Arabidopsis thaliana: one gene and its partners. The protein of the gene in region 4 interacts with the protein of the main gene of each other region in a pairwise test. Each region holds a gene or a part of one and is shown on either strand. Other genes may lie near its edges. The genes, in order: AT1G04290, LSM1B, AT5G54920 and AT1G24050.

Region 1 (4,088 bases), 7.4 Mb from region 4:
AACACAACATTGATTTCTAGTTTGGATTTTTCTTTTCTCATCTAATATGTCTGAATTTTTCTTGGAAGATTTCTCTTAAGAATGCATCTAGTGGGATTTATTTAATGTTTATTATATAGTACTACTAGCTACTACTAGATATTAATATTATATGAAATTTGATATCATGCATGATGTGGTAATTTAATGATGACTTGACTTATTGCGGATGGGGTGGTTTTTCAAAGTATGATTGCCAAAATGACTAGTGATTTAATTGTTTATCTATGCATAATGTAATTCATCGTCTAATAGATACAGTAATAACATAAACTAACAAAAAAAGATCAAAAGTATGAAACCAACATATCTCAACTAATATTCTTTTTCGACAAAACTGATCACATCACCTGCGTCATTTTCCTTTGTTCAGTATTCTATTCCCCTTTTCTTTTGAATCAAAGGTCATATACTCGTGTGGCTCATATATTTGATAAAAGTTTAAGAAGAAAGAAAGGGAGTATTTTGATGATAAAAATACATGAATTTTGGTTCAAATAAGAGCTACAAAGTTTGATAATATACATGAACACTGATTAAATTTGATTAATGAATTCATGTGTCTATGTTAATTTGAATTTTGCTTCACATACATTAACAAAAGTAGTAACAGAAGATCTACATATCTGTTGGATGTGAGAAAACAGTAAAAGAAAAGGCAGGAATGAACAACTTGATTGAAATAATTGGATGGTACCAACTTTGTATCAAAACTTAAAGTAATCATAATGCGAAACTAAAAATAGTGAAACATAAACAATTCTAATAAGTTACCACCACAAACCTCATCAATACTTTACAAATGCATCATCACCTTGAAATGATCATCATATTCACAGTAACAAATATATAAGCCAAATTTTTTAAACAGGATCTATCTGTATATTAAAAAAAAAGCTTAGTTCAACATCGAGGTAAACACATATAGAGAAAAAGTAAGGTTGTTTGTATTATTAGAAAAACATATAGTAATGTAGTTTTATTAGTATCAATAATAATAAGAAGCAAATGGGACAAAGACTAAAAACACCTTGATGTTGTTTATTGAATGTAAAAAAGAAGAAAGGTTGGTTGAACGATCAAAGGTTGGAACGAGGAGCAAAGTACTTGGTATGACGACCTTGAGCAATAATCTTACCAGTCGTCTTCTTCCTCAGCTCCACACTCACTACTGCTACAGCTTTACCAACACGCAATGCCTTTGATTCTATCTCTATCTCTTCCTGTGTTTTTTTTTATATATATGTCAATCAATTTTGCAAAGAAAGACATCTAATAAATTTAAGAAAGAAGGAAAGGAAGTTACATCGAGAAAAGCAGCATCAAGGTATGAAACATTGATCTCCACTGAAACTCCGGAATGTGAAGCTCCGGCTGTGTAGATCACTGCTGATCCTATCAAATCCACCAGCGTCGCCGTTGCTCCTCCGTGTAAGAATTTCCCTGCGTTCTTTCCTCAACAAATTCACAAAAGTCATTAGGGATTCTTTTTTTCTCGAAATTAGGGATTTGTTGTTCATGTGGTTGTTACCAGGAGATGAGGAGGGATTTTCATGGAGCAGACGATACGGCCAGGTTCGATGAGATCCACTTTAAGACCATTGGTTACGAATCGTTCGAGGAATCTGTGTGGTAATTTCGCCACCATTGGTTCCTTGGCCTTTTCGTCTTCATCTCCTTCCAGATACTTTTTCACCGATTCTAGATCCATTCTCTTCTTCTTTCCCTTTTCTTTTTCCGTATCAACACCTTTTGAGGGTTTTTTTTTTAAATCGAAAATTTTTTGATATGAATCAGATTTAAATGGCTCACATTTTTTTCTAGTTTTTACTCATTCAAATAAAGAAGTGATCTAATCAAATTAGACAAAGAAAGAAAAAAATAAATTAGACAAAAAAACACACACACACACACATTTTATATTAGACAGATTTCAGTTTCTTTTGATTAAAGATAAAGAGGAGTATAATTTATTTATAAAAACTATTCAGGGACTTTCAGGGAAGAGTTTTTCTATGCGAAAACTATCTTATACTATATTTAAAAAAAAAAAAACCATTTGAAACGTAGAGGATGACAAGAAGACAACTCTCTTTACACAAATTGTATATTCATGATTTTTTTTCCTTTTTAAAAAAAATAAAAACATTACAAATCCCCTCTCTCCATTTGCTGATCAATGACCATTCGATGGCCTGAACTCGGTGTAGCCATTAATACCAGACGTAAAACTTGGATTCGAAGCGTCCAAACCAAAGTAACTGTGATGGTAATTAGCTGCTGATGATGTTCCATCTTCCATTCCATTGCTCCTCATTGCTGGCAACGACAAGTCCATGTTCGTCATTTGCCACTGTCTCGGCATCATTCCGTCTGTACCATATGGTCCACGTGCCATGTAATGCAATCCTTCCTCTCCGAAACTCCTGGTCCTGCCACCAGACAATAACTCACCATGGTATGATGAGTACTGCCCGTTGAACACTTGCGGTTGTGGATTGAATATGCTTCCGTTATACACCATGTTGCTGCACTGTTCGTCTTCCAGCAGATCATTGATGATGTCTAGGTGAGGGAACTCATCCGTCATCATGCTTTGTGCTTGTTGCTGCGCTATCTGAACGTCCATGTGGTTCAGCGATCTGTTGCTAGTAACGGCGGGTGAGTAAGTGTTGTTGTACATGCCCATGTTTACAGAACTGGGACTTCTTCCTGTCCACAAGAGCCCATCTTGACTGTAAGGGAAGCTTGACTGATAAGATGATGTTGGTGCTTGCGAGTAAGATGATGATGGCAATGTGGTCGGGACAACTCCATGAGAGCTTGGGTGGTGGTTGAAACTAGATGATGATGAACCAAGAGAGTTACCGACTATAGCGTTTTTATAGGATTGAGGAGTGTATGTTTGTTGGTTGTGTAGGGATGGATCTGGACCTAGACGACCAGCTGAGCTAACCGAACGAGGAAGGGATGTTGTTGTTTGAACTGAGGAAGAGACGGTGATTGGGGAGGGTCGCATCGCAGGGATTATTGGAGCACTGGAAGGCCTTGATATAGTTGTTGCTGGTGGTTGTTTTGGAGCAGAGAGTTTTTGCATATCAGCTCTGAGACCAACAGTTTGCGACTGAATATCTGAAGGAAGCACTACTTGGCTTGATGAAGGTGGTCCAGTTGCCAGTACTTTCCTGTTTGGAATACCGTCTGCGGTTGAAATGCTCTTTTTCTCCGGTTTTGTCTGAGTTAATGGTGAAGGATTCTTGGCAACATTTCTGGGAGAAGAAAGTACAGCAGTGCTTTTCTCTTTAGGTCGATCCATGTCGACCGAGTTCACAATGGATTGAACCGTTTTGCGTTCCTGCAAAATGAATTTGAAAAAGGGACAACTAAATTGTGAAATTCTGGACCTCTTTGCACGAAACCAATAATTCAATCAGCGATCTTCTAATTTCAAAACATTAAAAGCATGAATGACGAACCCTCCCAACAGGAATACGATTTCGAGAACCCTCTGGCTCCTGGATGTGGGAGACAACAACCCAATCAGATTCACCAACGTTGCTTGCCTCGGAAGAATAATTCTGACCCTTGGGGTCTGTTCCAAGTGTTGAGGGTTGATCATCTGTTTCACTCGCTAAACTGTGGGCATCAGTCATTGCTTTCACTTGTTGGTTCTTTCCTCTGCAAGTCACAAAGCGTATCACTAAGGATTCAGGACTGACAAGAAACAAAGGACAGCCGAAACAAACTTACTTGTTCGGCGACTTCTGGTTTCGGAAATTCAAGGAATTCCCTTGGTAGGACCCATTGGTTACCCCCGATCGGATAGAATCATTAGAACAAGTTGAAGAACTATCATCCATAGTGGAATGACTCTTTCCTTCTGTAATTCCATTGGGTGTAGATATCGAAATGCCTCTTCCTCTACTGCTCCCTTCTGATGATGGAGGATGAATTTCCAAGGCATCAGTATCCCAAAGAACAGAACTACTATCCCTATCTTCTAAATCAGGCTGAAGAATGTCAGCCGAACCATCCACAGAATCAGATAT
Region 2 (4,416 bases), on a different chromosome or scaffold from region 4:
AATAGTTTGAGAGATGAAGGATTACATGTGAGTGGGAGTTTCTCCTCAGGTGTATCAAGAAGTGCATTAAGAGAGAGGTTTAAGGCATTCAATACAATGTTCGAAGAGGTTCACAGGACTCAGTCCACATGGTCGGTTCCAGATGCTCAGCTTAGAGAAGAACTCCGAATATCGCTATCCGAGCATCTAATCCCTGCTTATAGATCGTTTCTTGGAAGGTTCAGGGGTCATATAGAGAGTGGAAGACACCCTGAGAACTATTTGAAATATTCGGTTGAAGATATCGAGACCATCGTTCTAGATTTCTTCGAAGGATATACCACACCACCACACTTGAGGAGGCGATAAAAGAAGATCGAAAACCCGAGAGTTCTATCTTCTTTCTTTCGTTTTTCAGTCACATTAGGATGTCATAGAAATAGAACCATTCTTTGAATTTTTATTCACGGGTTTCCTGCCCGGTGGAATAATCTCCAGGTGAACATATTTGTGTGTTGTTGTTTGTGCCATATGTCTTCTATTTATAAAAGTCCTGATTGATCACAGAACCAATAAGTACCATGTAAATTTTGCAATGTGCGACGTCCTCTACTCATTTGCTCCATTTTTGTTCCGTTTGGTAGTAGCCATAGGCAAGCTCCTTGTTTAAAAGTTCCAAAATAGAGAAAGAAATTGCTTAACATTTTTTTCTTAAAAAGGTAAATAGATCCAAAGACAAAAGTACACAGATTTATTGTCATATTCATCCAAAATGAAACACAAGAATTGCGTCGATCCCCTAAGTCAACACACCAAAAAGGCTCATCATAAAACTTGCGAGCCAAAGCAGAGCATCAAGCCAATAATGAATGGGGATACAATCTGGTTTAATCAAAGTCAAGAAACTCCATTCTCTTCCTCATTGTTCCTCTCAGCTCACTCGCTTCCCTCTCCACCTTTTGTGCCTGCATCAACAGACAGATTCCCGAAAACCAAATCATCAGCACGCACACAGCATCACAAATGAATCAAATTTGGCTAATCAAAATGAACATGTTATGCGATGTCTTACCCTTTTAATCTCTGCCTCTGAGACGCGAATCATATGTGGAGGAAGCTCTTCTCTCTCCGTGTCCTAATACATAGTTTAAGGTCAAACTCAGTGAATTGGAAAACACGAGGTGACACAGCAAGAAAAGACAAACAAGGAGAAGTCTTACCAGCTCACCAATCAAAACAACATTCTCTCCACGGATTACATAGAGGCCTAAAGGAATGTCACAGTATTGTTCACCAACAATTACCCTCTCACACGCACCTTCTAGAACCGCATTGGCTGTGTATTTACAACGAACAAAAAAAAGTCAAATCTCTCCCGCTCATCAACAATATCGTAAATCTAGAAACATGGAAAGAAAAGTGAATACCGAATTGATCAAAGGAACGGAGTGTTCCCATTAGCTTTCTACCATCTCTAAGAAGCACAAGTAGTTTTCCTGCATCATCAAGAGCAGAGCCAACATACATAAGTAACTGATGCACATTGATTCATATCTAAAAAAGAAAACGGTACGCCAAATGAGATTGAGAACTAACTCATAGCCCAAAAACATCAGCAAAAGAAGATCATTGACTTTTAAACTCAAAGAACCAACATCAAAAAGCCGATAGTGAATTAAATTTCAACAAAGGTTAAAGTTTATACTTCGTAAGTTGAATAAAGAGTGAGCCAGCAACCTCAATCACATCTAATCTCTCACGCATGCTAAAATTTAGCTTGACAACAATAACTGATGAACAGTTAGATTTGACCCAATTAAAAAAAAACTAAAGCTTTGATTCAATAATCAATATCTTAATCAATGAATGTCTCTTTGAGACAATTCAACACCAAAATTGACAAGCTTTGGATACAGCCACAAAATAGTACAGCCTATATATCAATAAGAAGTCAAAATCAAACGTCAAAAAAACAGAGAATTGTTTGCAAAATTGAGCTCCCAAATGCGTACAGAGCCATCACGGCCAATTATTTTAACTACATGCATTCATACGGTTCAACAAATATGTGAAACAGAGAGAAAGAGAGACGGATTTACTATCGAGATAACTAGCGAGTGATGTTGAAAGATAAATTTCTTCAGGACCAGCCCACGACATCGCCACTGACTTTGAAATTGAAGAAAACTTTCGGTCTTTCTATAGAACACTACCGATGATAATAATGTTCGTCAGATTCCAGCTGAAGAGATAAGATTTGGCTATTGAACGCGAACTTTGACAGGAAAAAAAAAAAGTGAAGACGGAAAGAGAAATCTAAATTAGGGTTTTGACCAAAGGGTTTAAATTGATAAAGTGATTAAAAAAGATTGAGACTTTCGACACCTGATCGAAGACGGACACGGGTTCTTCAAAAAAATATAAAACCCAGATCCGATCGAACTTTGGCTGAGAAAATTTGTTTGTGGAAAATTCGAAGAGAAAACTAGCGAGCAAATCCGTCCACTGTCCCTTTTTTATTATTTTCAAGCAATGTCCACGATTTCTTAACTCGATAGATAAGACGTTGTACTTTAATACTTTAAGCACTTTCCAATTTAATGTTAAATTTCCTAATAATTATTGTGACTGAATGTTTCTTAAATAAATGAGACTAATCTTCCAAGCTAATAAAATATCTGTTTCGAATAAATTTTAATTTATGGACCAAAAAAGTCGATTTAACACTATTATTATTTACTGCTTGATTTATGTTAAAACGCTTTTATGGGTAAGTCATCCAATAATATATTCCCACGTAAGCATCAGATCTCGGCGGCGCGAAACTACGCGGCGTTCGCTTAGCACAAAAACGTAGCGCAGTTTATTTAAAGCAAAACAAAAAATTCTGTTTTCACACTTTTGCATTGCAGCATCTTGTAGCTAACAACATCATCGGAGAGAAAGCAGCTTCCCCTTCCCGGAGATATCGTACATAAGCTAAAGCAACCTTAACCTTCCTTCTCCACTGTAAAACCCTCAAATTAAGGTCACGATTTCGTCTTATTTTTCCAGGTTTGATTCACAAAGAACTTCGTGTTTTAACGATGCTATTCTTGGGGTAGGATTTAGGGTTTTGTTTCTATAGTTCACCGATCCTGTTCAATTTTAAGCTAAATCACATTCAATTTTATGATTTGCATCGGTTAAAAGACGCGATAGTTATCAGGAGTAGGGTTTGTTGTGGTATTCGAGAAGTTTCAGGAAAGTGAGAGTTTTCTATTAATGGCTTCTTTTTTTTGTATCCCGAATTCTTTGGGGTTAATTGGTGAAAAGAATGTTCTTTGTACGAAATTATATCCAATTTTCCAGCTTTACATGTTTTTGGAGATTTCTGGAATAAGTCTGAGATACTTAAGAACGCATCTGGAGATTGAAATTGTGGCATCCAATGTAGTTTCAATCGATTTTGTCTTTAAATTTTGTATTCTTATTAGATTGAGTTTCGTCTTGGATTGAGCGAATTTGTTTCATTGATGATTTTAGGGATAGATTGATCATGGCAACTGCAACTATGGCAACAGCAGCTGGAGCAGCTGCTCTTTTATATTACACGTTGAATCGGAAATTAATAGCTGGTCCATCTGACGTTGACGATGAGAATTCTGAAGCTTCTGCTTCTCGTCCTTCTTTGAGGATTGACCGTGTTTCGCATAGGCTTATTCAAGCTCCGGCAACTTGGTTGGAGACTATTTCTACTCTTTCTGAGACTCTTCGTTTTACTTACTCTGAGACTCTTGGGAAGTGGCCTATTGGTGATCTTGCGTTTGGGATCAATTTTCTCATCAAGAGGCAGGTATAACATCTCTTCATCGTTTTAACGGTCTTAAGTTCTGGATTTTTTTCTAATTATCTTGTGGTCAAAATTGAACTTTTTGTAATTGTGTACCTAAAACCGTAGGGACTTCTACATGTTGATCGTGTCTTTGGTGGTAAAGATAGTGTAGAACTTAGAGGATCAGAAGTAGCCACTGAACTCAAATATCTTTTGCACTTGTTGACATTGTGTTGGCATTTTTCCAAGAAGTCGTTTCCGTTTTTCTTAGAAGAGACCGGCTTTACAAAGGAAAATGTCCTTATTCATGAACCCAAAGCTGGGGTAAACTTTAACAACTCTCAACTCTTAGGCACTTTTTCAACATAGAAATTGAGAAGTTTAGTTTTGAATTTTGCACCATGTAGATATTGAAGCCAGCTTTTACGGTTCTTGTCGATCACAATACAAAATATTTTCTGTTATTGATTCGTGGAACGCATAGCATCAAAGATACCTTGACTGCTGCAACTGGAGCAATCGTACCGTTCCATCATACTGTTGTAAATGAAAGAGGGGTCAGCAATTTGGTCTTAGGTTATGCTCATTGTGGTATGGTTGCTGCTGCCCGGTGTATAGCTAAA
Region 3 (6,572 bases), on a different chromosome or scaffold from region 4:
CTGCAACTTTTGGTTGTTTGCCTGTGTGACAAATTTTTTTACAGTCAAATGTTTCCAACCACAGTCGAAACTCAAAGAAAATTGAGGACGGGAGCTACTACCTTGATGAGTTTTATAGGCACTTTAGCTTCTTGTAATTTCTCAATCATTTTTTCCTCTGAAGGTGTCAGAAAGAGGAGCGACTTCCCTTGAGTATAGAAACGAGCTGTACGCCCAACCCGGTGAATATAAGAAGCTACATCTTCAGGACAATCCACCTATAAAATAAATATGATGACATCACACTTCAGCCCGACAAGATCATAGAGTTTTGTAATTCTGGATGTGGATTCATACCTGAACAACCCAGTCCACAGCCTTATCAAAATCAAGACCTCTAGCAAGAACATCAGTACAGAACAGAACTGATTGTCTCTCAATGAACTGAGAGTACACTCCCATCCTTTTTTCCTGACTCATTTTTCCATGAAGACTCTTCAAAGGTATTCCAGGCCGGAGCTTGTTGAATGCTTCATGCACAAATTTGACCTGCCAGGATTGTGATCCGTTTGTCAATCTCAAGATAGAAGAAAGTGGCAGAATGAAAGTGAACACACTATCTCCATGTAGATTATTCAAAGAGGAAGAGAGGTAATATAATATAACCTGTTTCTTGGTGGAGAGGAAAACAAGAATCCTGGAATTAAGGTGAGTTTTGATGAAACTCCATAACATGTCTAATTTCTTTTCAACTGGGACAATCATCACAGTCTGCATCAAGGAAGTTGGAGTAGCTGTAACCGCCTCTGCATGTACACTAATGTACTCAGGATCTCTCAAACTGAGTCTTGCTAGATCCTTGACTTTCTTAGTTTGAGTTGCAGAGAAAAGCAAAGTTTGTCTGTGCTTAGGCAACTGTGAGATTATAGGATCCAACTGCCCCTTGAACGCAGAATCAAGGACACGGTCGGCCTCATCTAAAATCAGAATCTGCAGCAAAAGAGAACACTTACTAGGCATTTGTAAACAATAAGACTGAAGAAATTTGGCAGACAGAAACATAGTCGAAGTGGTTTTACGGTATCCTTATTTGCAAATATAACCATCCTAATGTTCATAAACGTGTAGGAGAAAGGCATCATGGACAAGTATTATAGAGTTAACAACACAAAATGCCCAAATGTTCTGTAGCTGAAACATTTCATTAAAATAAGGATAGTGAAAACATAAACAAATATGGTCATCATTACCTGAAGCTGTGGACATTCGAAGTTTGGAGTCTCATCCATGTGCTGAAGAAGCCTACCAGGAGCACACACCAAAATATTCATCTCATGAACTCTCTCCTTCTCAACATCAACTCCTTCACGACCACCAATTAAGAGCCCCGCACTAAACTTATGAAACTTTCCTACTTTATTCAAAACACCGAATGTCTGGGCTGCCAATTCCCTTGTTGGAGATATAATTATACATCCCACACCATCTTCAGGACTCCATCTCTCCCTATGTAACTTCTCCAGAATCTAAAACACACAAAAATAATCCATTAGCATCTATCAAAAATCAAAGCTGATCAAGATACAAAGCTACACACACAGCAATAAACTCTATCGAAAAATCGAAACTTTACCGGAATAACAAAAGCCAGAGTTTTGCCAGACCCAGTTCTAGCAGCACCAAGAATATCTCTTCCACATAAAGCATGAGGAATAGCAGCACTCTGAACATCAGTCATATCAACGTATTTCGCATCTTTCAATCCTCTTTTCGTTTTATCCGATATAGGTAACTGAGCAAACTTCCTCACACCTGCATACCGAGAGAAAACGGTGCCGTTTTTGCCGTCTTCGGACTTTCCGATCTTCGAATCTTTAGGAAGAGGACGCAATGAAAGTGGATTGAATCCTGAATCCGGTTTCTGTGATTCGATCCACTGCTTCAGAAGATTTATTTCTTCGACTTCGTTGAGACGAATCTGCTTCCTCATTCCCTTAGTCTTCTTAATTTTTACCATCTTGACACAAACACGAAGTTAGAGCTCCAGATATGGAAAGCTTACGACTTGAGAGGCTAGAATTTGCAAAAGAGCAGACAAAAGTTAGGGTTTTAAGATTTGATAGATACACAAGAAGATGTTGAAGCAGCCAATTGAAGGGTTTAACGATGAGTGACGATGCTTTTTTTAATTACCAAAAAAACTAATCTAGGCCCAATAAGGATACACAAAGGCCCAATAACAAAGCATTTTTTTTTTCGCTTCCCTCGTCTATCTTCTCTGGATCTCTTCTGATTCTCGAATCCCTATTTGTCTTCGTCTTCTTTTGTTGTGAACTTGCGATACATATATATATAGATGCGAGTACACCGGACTGTGAAATTTTGGAACGAATTGATTTGATTTGAATATGGCAATCGCGAAGAAATTGGAAAATGAGATCTCACGCTCTTCTCCTTCGTCATCATCATCATCGCTGAACGAAGCTCTGTTAATCTCTACTATGTGTATCATCGGCTTACAAGTCCATGTGCATATCAACGATGGCTCTGTGTTTTCTGGGATATTCTACACTGTCTCTCTTGAGAATGAATTCAGTACGTTTCCTTTTGGTTTAATGTGGTTTTGATTTGGTAATTTGTGTTTTCGTTGATGAAATTGGTCTTTGAATTTGTGTCGGAGATCACAGAGATTTGATTAGGATCTTACGAAATTATGCTCATTACTTAATTGGTGGTGTGAATCATTCATTGTAACATTGCTAGTTTTTTTTCGATTTGTGTAGCATTTTGGTCTGTTTGACTGTTTCTGAATTTTACTGGTTTGATTCTGAATTTAGGTATTGTGTTGAAGAATGCAAAACTTACTAAGAAGGGAAGAAGTAAATCGAATGTAGAAAGTGGGAAGATTGTGGAGACACTTGTGATTTTGTCTTCCAATATTGTTCAAATTGTTGCAGAGGTTGGTCTTTTTTTCTATGGTGATTTTACTTGTAGAGATTCGTTTAAAGCCAGATTGTGTGACTTTCTTATTTTTATTTTCATAGGGAGTCTCGCTTTCGTCCAATGTTGCAGGGGAGATTGAGGGTGAAAATGTCGTGTCGGCCGTGGCAGTTTCTTCCTTCAATTCTGGCAAGAACAGAAGGGGCACTAATCGTAGAAGGTAACCTTTGTAGTTAATGTTGTTATAAGTTCATATTTAGATAGAAAAGTTAGAAGGTTAAGGATTATGAATCTTGTTTTGCTCCTCGCAGTCTCTTGTCTTTTAGTTTTGTGTCGATTTGTTCTATGGCTTTATGATTTTTTTTTTTAATCTCTTTAATTTATGAAATAGGAATTCCGCGAAACGTGAAAATTGTTTGGAAAGTAAAGCAAGAACCTTGACATCTGGGGAGACCGCAGGTGCCATGAAAGAGCCAGGGAGAAGAGATGAGGTTGGTATTTTACAGGTAGCTTTGTCTTGTTTGTATTGTGGAATTTAACTAAGTAATTCTCCTATTGTTGTGGGAACTGGTGATAGAGTTGATGTCTAGCTCACAAGGTCCATGGGCCCTTGTGTCTCCCCAAGATGGAAGTTAAAGCCAGCCTCCATTTAGTAGGATGTAATGGGTTGACATTAAAGTAGATGACTTGGTTTTCGGTTTCTGTAATGGGTTGACTTTAAAATAGATGCCTTGCCTAGAGTCATTAGTTAACATCTTGTCATGTTGTTTAATTCAGCTTTCACAGTCTGAGTCCCTTTCTTGGTTTTCACTCTCTTGATTCCTTTTCCAATTTCCTCTTTTGCAGAACAAATATCATCCTAGCTCACTGAACCATCAACGGTATGGATCATAAGTATACTGTTTTTGGTATATAATTAGTGTCCTGTTAAAATCTTTATCTCCGTCTTAATATTTGCCAATATGTAACCAAACTTCTACTTATATATCAGTTTTAGCTATCTAGTTTTCTGGCTACAATAAACCTCTCTGTGCTCAGTAGGTAACTCTCTGATTCTTGTATATTCTTTTGCTGACAGACAGGCAGGAGTCCGCATTTTGAAGAATAGCAAAAAAATTACTGATGTTCATCAGGAGGATAACGTTAGTCTTGCACATAATTGGTTCATTCTGTTTTTCAAGATATTGCTCAGCAGCTGCTTATTATTATATTTACCTATTGCAGGTTGAAGCCAGAAGCTCAAGTTGTAGCTGTGAGTTCCTTTTTGGGAAAAACTTTTTTATTTTACTTACAGAACCATGATGAACTCTTTTCTGCTTCCTTTTTGACAAGAAAATGTTTCCTGACATGTGTCTCATCACGTGTTATAATGACAGTGGACAACATGTCTGAACGTGTAAAGCCGATAGAACAAGAGAAAATGCCGGAACCTTCTAGTAATGGTTTTCACGATGCTACGGAGAGACCCTCGTCAACTGAAAATTCTTCATCACAGAGCACTACTGTGGATGAAAACTCAGAAGTGAGTCTGGTTTTGGTGGTATCTACAAATAGCTTACCACCTACGCAGGCAACAGACCCTGACAAGAAGGCTAAGGTGATAAAGAATTCGTATTGGTTTCTCATATTCAGAATATATGTTAGTTTGAGATGCTCGTTTCTTGGTTATGGCAGCTTGATGACTTGTGCATTGTTTCATCTTACTTTATTTGTTACTCGTTTTTGAATTCAGGAGTTTAAACTGAATCCAGGAGCAAAGACTTTTTCCCCATCTCTTGCAAAACGTCTTACATCAGCTCATGCCGGTATGACGCCTGTTGTTGCGAATATGGGTTATGTGCCAAGCAATACTCCTATGTTACCAGTTCCAGAAGCTGTTCAACCAGAAATTGGAATCAGCCCTTTCTTGTCTCATGCATCTTCACCTTCCAAGTTTGTTCCGTACACTAATTTGGCTACTGGAAATGCTGGTGGTGGATCTCATTTTCCCCAACATGTAAGTATTCAACCACAAATGAGGCATCTTCTATTCTCTCTCTCTTTTAATATATCACATTTTTTGGGAACCTTTATTCATCTATTAGCTCAAATGGCTGAAATACCAATATTGCATGACCAGATTGTGAAACTGAGTATTGTTCGCAACCGGTGATTCAAAGTTCTGTGCAATCAATGGATTATTTTTTTCATTTGAACTCATTTTTCTGCAGATGGTTGGACCAACTATTAACAGGGGACAGCCACATAGATTCACCACTCAGTACCATTCTGTTCAACCCACACCAATGCTTGTAAATCCCAATCCTCAGGTTGCATTTCATTAACAACACCATATTCTCACTTCTGTTCATAAAATTGTTTATAAGAATTGAGTGATAGTGTATGAGTTTCTAAATGCTAATTGAATCGTATATTCCAGGTGATGGTCGGGAGATCAGGACAGCTTATGTATATGCAACCAATTTCTCAGGTAAGAAGAACTTGAATAATAATATTATTGTGTACATAAACAATCACATTAGCCTTTTTTGCTTACAAGAAACTCAAATCCGCTTCCCTTTTATGTTCTTATAAGGATTTGGTTCAAGGAGCACCACATAACTCACATTTGCCTCCTCGTCCTCTCTTTACTCCCCAACAGTTTCAGTATCCAAAGCATCAGAGTAAAACATTCTTCTCTGTCCAATTATGGTTTCATGTTAAGTAAGACCAAAGATTTTGGTTTTCACTAAACTTCACTTTCTTGGTAATTCAGGTCTAATCGCAACTGGTCAACCGATGCATCTATATGCTCCACAACCATTTGCAGCCAATGGACATCAGCCTTACACAGTCATGCCTACCGATATTCCGGTTATGCAGTCACCTTTTCCCATTAACCGGGCCATGCCAATTCCGGTTCCTAATGGTTTCTATGGCACAAAGTTTCTATAGAAAGTCTTGTTTTTCATCTTCATTACCTTATTATTTGCCTCCCAGCTTAATAAGTTTTTGATACATAGTTAAAAACCAAAAATTATAGATCCGTCTGATGACTTGGATTTTTTTTCTTTCTCAATGATATACAACTACTAGCTAAAGAAAACAGAAAGAGGAAGTTATGAGCATTTTATATAATGAATCACGATAATTTTGCTGACATCTTTAAGCTAGACAATAGTTAGATTCTGTTTTCCTATTTCTGATTACAATAAGATTGAATCAGACTTTAAGCTCTTAAGGGTTTGCAAGAAGAAATAATAGTCTTCAGAAGATCAATGGCCTTGAGAAAAATGGGTCTCTCTCACATTCTCCTGCACAGCCTAAGACAAATCAAACATGAATCTCTATAGAGAAAACCAAGTAAGCTTGGGATATAATCATTGGTATGGTTGGGTTTAGTACCTGAAGGAGTTCTGTCATCTTGCCTCGTCCGTAACTCGGCATGGGTTTCAGCATATGTACTGGATGGATTGGGTGTATCGCCTGCAATGGCTCAATGGACAGAGCTTGCTCATCTGACTCGGGTTCAACGGACTGTGTTGTGTGCTGGACTTGACCTTTATTCATCACCTGTGTGAGAAGCGTCTCAAAAGGCTTGCCGTTACTCGCTCCACTCGCTTGAGACCCTGTCTCGGTCTGCATGGGACTGTGGTCGATCGGGACCCGCTCAC
Region 4 (4,396 bases):
TCTTCGAAACAAGTAAAATGGATTACTGTCATTTTTCCTAAAATGAGAGGTCACTGATAAAAAAACACTTGATAAATATAAACAAACAATACTAATTATGAATTACCGGATAATTTCAATTCAACTTCCAGCTAGGAAACTTTGATCAAGCGATATTATTTGGATATATATACTATAATTTCACTAAGAAAATCAAGCACTAGATGTATCCGTATAGTATGTTGTATTTGCTGCTATGAATGTTTTGCTTTAAGAGAAATGAGTACATAAATTCAGGGGTGTAGTCTTGTTTTTTCTTTCCTTCTTTCGCCTAATGCCTAAAGAATTAACCACATGTCTATGAACAAGAAATACAATCGCTGCCAATACAGGAAGCAGATAACAAAGATAAGAGTGTGTGTGGAGTACCTCTACTAAGATCATATAAACAATAGGTCGAAGCAAACGGGATTATCAACCCGACCCTTGGTCATGTCACATTTAGCTCCTACATAATAAAGCCAATCACAATGTTTGTTATAAATTCAGAAAAGGTTGAGAAGAAGACTAAAAGCTAATTGGTACACTGATGGAAAAACTGTACCCATGTTTACACATTTGCAGAGGAGGTCAGCTCATTATCAGACCCCACCATTTCTACTATAGGATTGGTGCATAGTGGAAGAAGTTTCTTCCGCATCAAATGCTTACGCCGCTGTAACATCAGAAGGACCAAAACTGTATCTGTCTTAACAACCTCGTATCCTGCCTTCTTGTACATATTGAAAGGAGCCTCATCAACCATCCTACAATGCAAGTATACATCTTTTGATGGACTAATCTGAGATATCAGTTCCTCACTCGCCTTCAACAAATGCCACCCAATTCCTCTCCTTCTAAGATCCTCTTTGACAGTCATGTTACAGATATAAGGTGATTCCTTAGGAGGAGTTGGAGAAGGAGGAGAAGCATTAGCGCCTCGTTTCTCCAAACAAACCTCAACAGTTCCAGCCATCACAGCCTCCTCCTCTCCATCATCACTAAACTCATCAACTTTTTTCCTAAAGAAACCAACTAAAGTAACTGCGTGTGGCAACACTTCTCTTCTCTCAATCAAATACTGCTTAATCAAAAACCGTAACACAGACTGATAACCAGAAGGTAATAACATCGATTCACCAAATGACTCAGCCAATAGATGCACCGTTGAATCCATCTCTTCATGTCTCATAACTCGAACCCACATCGATCCAGATTCAAGCTCTTGAAAATACGCAAATCCTTCAAGAGTTTTAAGCTTCTCTAACTCATCGTTACTCAAAAACCTCCCGGTACGAAACGATTCCTCTAGAAACGCGTAATTCCCGGTCGATTTAGAGTTTTCTTCTCCAGTTTCTGTAGCTGTCGAAACTGAAGAAGGAGGGAAAGCGAATCTGAGATTGGAGCGGTGAGATTTACACGAGTAGAGTAATGGATATCTATGTGAAGAAGACGAGAAGCCAAACTTCGTTGATTGGGTTGGTTTGAGAGAATCAACAGAGAAAGCTAGTGAGATGCTTAAAGCCGCCATTGACACACACACACACGATTTTCTCCGATTTGATTGTGGTTCAGTGTTCGCTAATCTGTTTATAACGAAATAAAATGGATAAAGTAACAGTCATACACTAATCTTTAAAACGCCGCGTTTTGAACTAATCATGAAGCTCAGTAGTTATTGGGCCCTTATGGCCCATATACTGATATAAAAATGAGGAAACTGTTATAAGCCAGTAGCTATTTGGGCTTAAGGCCCATATTGCGATATATATAGTTTTAATTTTTCCGAAGTTCGGCGATTTCAGAAGACGGAGGAGGAGCGAGGACGGCCGCCATGGATCCAGCAGGAGCATCGGTGGCCAGCGCAATCGGAGGAGAAGGAGAGAAATTCGCGGTGGGGAATATTTATTCAGTGAAGGTGATCACCGGAGATGAGTTCAGAGGGATCGTCATGGCTTACGACCCCATCCCCAACTTCGTCTTTTTTGATATCCTTAATTTCTTTAATTGTTTGTTTCATCAAAATTTGAGATTTAGGTATTTTCAATGTCTTGACCTGAATTGTGTTATCCTTGACGAGTTATTGGTTATTACAAGAGGGTACAAAACCTAGACCTGGGCATTTGAAGAACACTCGGATGGTGAATGCGAGTTTTATTACAGGGCTTTCGTATTTAGGCAAAACTGAAGATCCACTTGATTCAGACAACTTTTCTGTTGATCTTAATGGTCTCCGAGCTAAAGAGGCACTTGCTATCAGGTGATAAGATATTTTGTTGTTGAATCCTTTCAAAATGCAATTTTTATTGCTATTTGCTTGTTTTGAGCTTACTTGGGAAAACGTATTGAGCACAGGCAAGCGGAAGCAGATGCTGAAAGAATGGGAGTTGGTGTTACCGCTGAGGCTCAGAGCATCTTCGACGCGTTGTCTAAGACGTAAGGATCTTCTCTTTTTATACGTTTTCGGATCGAAAAATAAGCTAATCTCTAAGAAGGAAACACAGCTTAGAGTATACGGTAGAGAGGTGGGACGAGATCGTAATCTAATGTTGTTTAGTTGAACTATTAGTTCTTTGTAAACAATTGCTTGGGTTGGAGGATTTTGTTTTGTGCGTCTAATGTGTTATTCCCAAAGATAAATTGTTAGGATCTGGACATGATTTAGTGTTGTTTTGCTCTTGGTTTCCGGTGATGCTAGTTTGCAACTATATATATGTAAAGTTTCTATGTTTGTGGTTGTTGTAGATTACATATGTTGTGGGCTCTAGTGTCAAGTATCTTTAGTCTTCTTTGTGATACTGATACAGTTAAGAAGCTGTCTAGATACATAGTTTTAGACTACATAAATCCTTAAACTTTCTTTGTTTGAATTTGCTTTTTCTCTTTCGAATGAATCACATGTGAATTATTTTCCTTTTAGGCTTCCTGTGCAATGGGAAAACTCAGACATTCTGGTGATGAAAGAGGTACGCGTTCGTAGCCCGTATCTTTCAGATTGTGTCTTTGGAGGAACTGATGCTGCCAACAACCGAGTCAAGAAAGTGGTAAGCGTCACTTTCAGTTCATTGTGTAATGCCAATTAAGCCTCTGGTGTTATATTAGTCATTTGCATTCAATCGTGTAACGTTGATCAAGCCTTGGGTGTGATAGTAATGCAATTTTGCTTTTATCGCAGCTTGAGCTGGAAAGACGAAGGTTGCAACTCTTTGGCACATGAGGCTAGTGAAAAGAGTCGGTCAGTGAAATAGCGAGAAAGGGTTCGTTGCTACTAACCCGAAAGGCGTCTATAGATCTGATCGACCAGCGAAAAGCGGATATGTTTGCTTTTCGCATGTTGTTGTCTTTACTTAGAATCTGCTTGTCCTTGTAAAAGCAGATTAGAGATTTCTTGAGTTACAGCCTTACAGGGATTGAAATTTGGACTAATTTCACCCTGGTTATTGACAAGAACAGTGAGGTCTTGTCTTGTCCACTTTTTACCAGGGCTTGGTTTATTTATCGCCTGGAACTGTAAACTATTCTGAAATGTTGAACTACTTTTTAGTGACTTCTCCGGTAGATTTTTACATCTCGTGTGCTCTAGAACTGAGTTCCTTGATCAATGCAAAAGTTATAAGAAATATTTTTCTGTTGATTGTTAGTATTGAACTGTGTATAGATTCCAATGATGATCATAATAGACCGTGGTGATGTATAAAACCATCTTATTCGATACACAACATATACAACTATGGACACAACTACTTTGCGTTTGGGTGATCAAGCGTGAGCTAACTTGTTGATTAGAAACCAACATTGATGCTACATGCGAATGAAATTTTACGTTACGACTAAGCTAACTCTGGATAAGCGCTTGCATGAGGAGATGGAGATATAACAATGATCACTCAGGTTGCTTGATATCATTTGAATCAAAGCTTTAAGAATGTTGTAAATTGAATCCAAAAACTAGTAAGACAATGTGTTAATTCAACATTGGAACTTATAAGTATCATAGATCGACGCGAGAGTTCTGCTTCTAACAGATACTTATCACCAAAACCTTAACCTATCTTTAGTGCAAAACACCACTAAACTATGAGCCACAAAAATTATTAAGAAGGCAACAAAAACCCTACTAAGAAGCCAAAGGAAACAATCCACACACTTGCTTCTAATCTTCTACTTGTTGAGTATTTCGCTGAGATTGAGTTGCTTTCTTTAGCAATCCACTACTAACACAAGCCTGAAAACACAACCATTTACCAGCAAGAAGACACCACCACAGCAACAGTGTAACATTACTGAACTCAAGATGAAAAGAGACTAACCTGAAGAGCTCTCTTACCACATGAACGAGAATTGTGCCCTGCTTGACCACATTTATTACAATGTATTG

The links.
Region 1: the proteins of AT1G24050 (region 4) and AT1G04290 interact in a two-hybrid assay, tested with the Arabidopsis thaliana proteins (one large-scale study listed by BioGRID).
Region 2: the proteins of AT1G24050 (region 4) and LSM1B interact in a two-hybrid assay, tested with the Arabidopsis thaliana proteins (one large-scale study listed by BioGRID).
Region 3: the proteins of AT1G24050 (region 4) and AT5G54920 interact in a two-hybrid assay, tested with the Arabidopsis thaliana proteins (one large-scale study listed by BioGRID).

What each region holds. Positions count from the first base shown.
Region 1 is NC_003070.9:1,146,603-1,150,690, forward strand, and holds AT1G04290 (Thioesterase superfamily protein), read right to left. Parts: upstream 1,932-4,088; 5' UTR 1,751-1,931; coding exon 1,571-1,750; intron 1,490-1,570; coding exon 1,346-1,489; coding exon of another isoform or gene 1,286-1,345; exon of another isoform or gene 1,263-1,285; coding exon 1,119-1,262; 3' UTR 695-1,118; downstream 1-694. Other genes in the region: AT1G04300 (TRAF-like superfamily protein), read right to left, coding at 2,216-3,394, 3,516-3,717, 3,790-4,088.
Region 2 is NC_003074.8:4,665,440-4,669,855, reverse strand, and holds LSM1B (Small nuclear ribonucleoprotein family protein), read right to left. Parts: upstream 2,549-4,416; 5' UTR 2,365-2,548; exon of another isoform or gene 2,255-2,364; 5' UTR 2,140-2,254; coding exon 2,079-2,139; intron 1,527-2,078; exon of another isoform or gene 1,507-1,526; coding exon of another isoform or gene 1,476-1,506; coding exon 1,407-1,475; intron 1,316-1,406; coding exon 1,200-1,315; intron 1,115-1,199; coding exon 1,052-1,114; intron 945-1,051; coding exon 867-944; 3' UTR 662-866; downstream 1-661. Other genes in the region: EXO70D3 (exocyst subunit exo70 family protein D3), read left to right, coding at 1-348; AT3G14075 (Mono-/di-acylglycerol lipase, N-terminal;Lipase, class 3), read left to right, coding at 3,518-3,814, 3,920-4,117, 4,201-4,416. UniProt on the Arabidopsis thaliana protein: Component of the cytoplasmic LSM1-LSM7 complex which is involved in mRNA degradation by promoting decapping and leading to accurate 5'-3' mRNA decay.
Region 3 is NC_003076.8:22,299,724-22,306,295, forward strand, and holds AT5G54920 (polyadenylate-binding protein interacting protein), read left to right. Parts: upstream 1-2,276; 5' UTR 2,277-2,387; coding exon 2,388-2,574; intron 2,575-2,816; coding exon 2,817-2,938; intron 2,939-3,023; coding exon 3,024-3,139; intron 3,140-3,310; coding exon 3,311-3,425; intron 3,426-3,765; coding exon 3,766-3,800; intron 3,801-3,997; coding exon 3,998-4,061; intron 4,062-4,143; coding exon 4,144-4,171; intron 4,172-4,295; coding exon 4,296-4,516; intron 4,517-4,651; coding exon 4,652-4,915; intron 4,916-5,129; coding exon 5,130-5,228; intron 5,229-5,338; coding exon 5,339-5,389; intron 5,390-5,494; coding exon 5,495-5,582; intron 5,583-5,674; coding exon 5,675-5,853; 3' UTR 5,854-6,072; downstream 6,073-6,572. Other genes in the region: AT5G54910 (DEA(D/H)-box RNA helicase family protein), read right to left, coding at 1-21, 102-257, 337-528, 646-969, 1,230-1,505, 1,613-1,996; AT5G54930 (AT hook motif-containing protein), read right to left, coding at 6,174-6,221, 6,304-6,572.
Region 4 is NC_003070.9:8,505,205-8,509,600, forward strand, and holds AT1G24050 (RNA-processing, Lsm domain-containing protein), read left to right. Parts: upstream 1-1,763; 5' UTR 1,764-1,852; coding exon 1,853-2,006; intron 2,007-2,112; coding exon 2,113-2,278; intron 2,279-2,373; coding exon 2,374-2,454; intron 2,455-2,938; coding exon 2,939-3,062; intron 3,063-3,193; coding exon 3,194-3,235; 3' UTR 3,236-3,705; downstream 3,706-4,396. Other genes in the region: AT1G24040 (Acyl-CoA N-acyltransferases (NAT) superfamily protein), read right to left, coding at 590-1,549.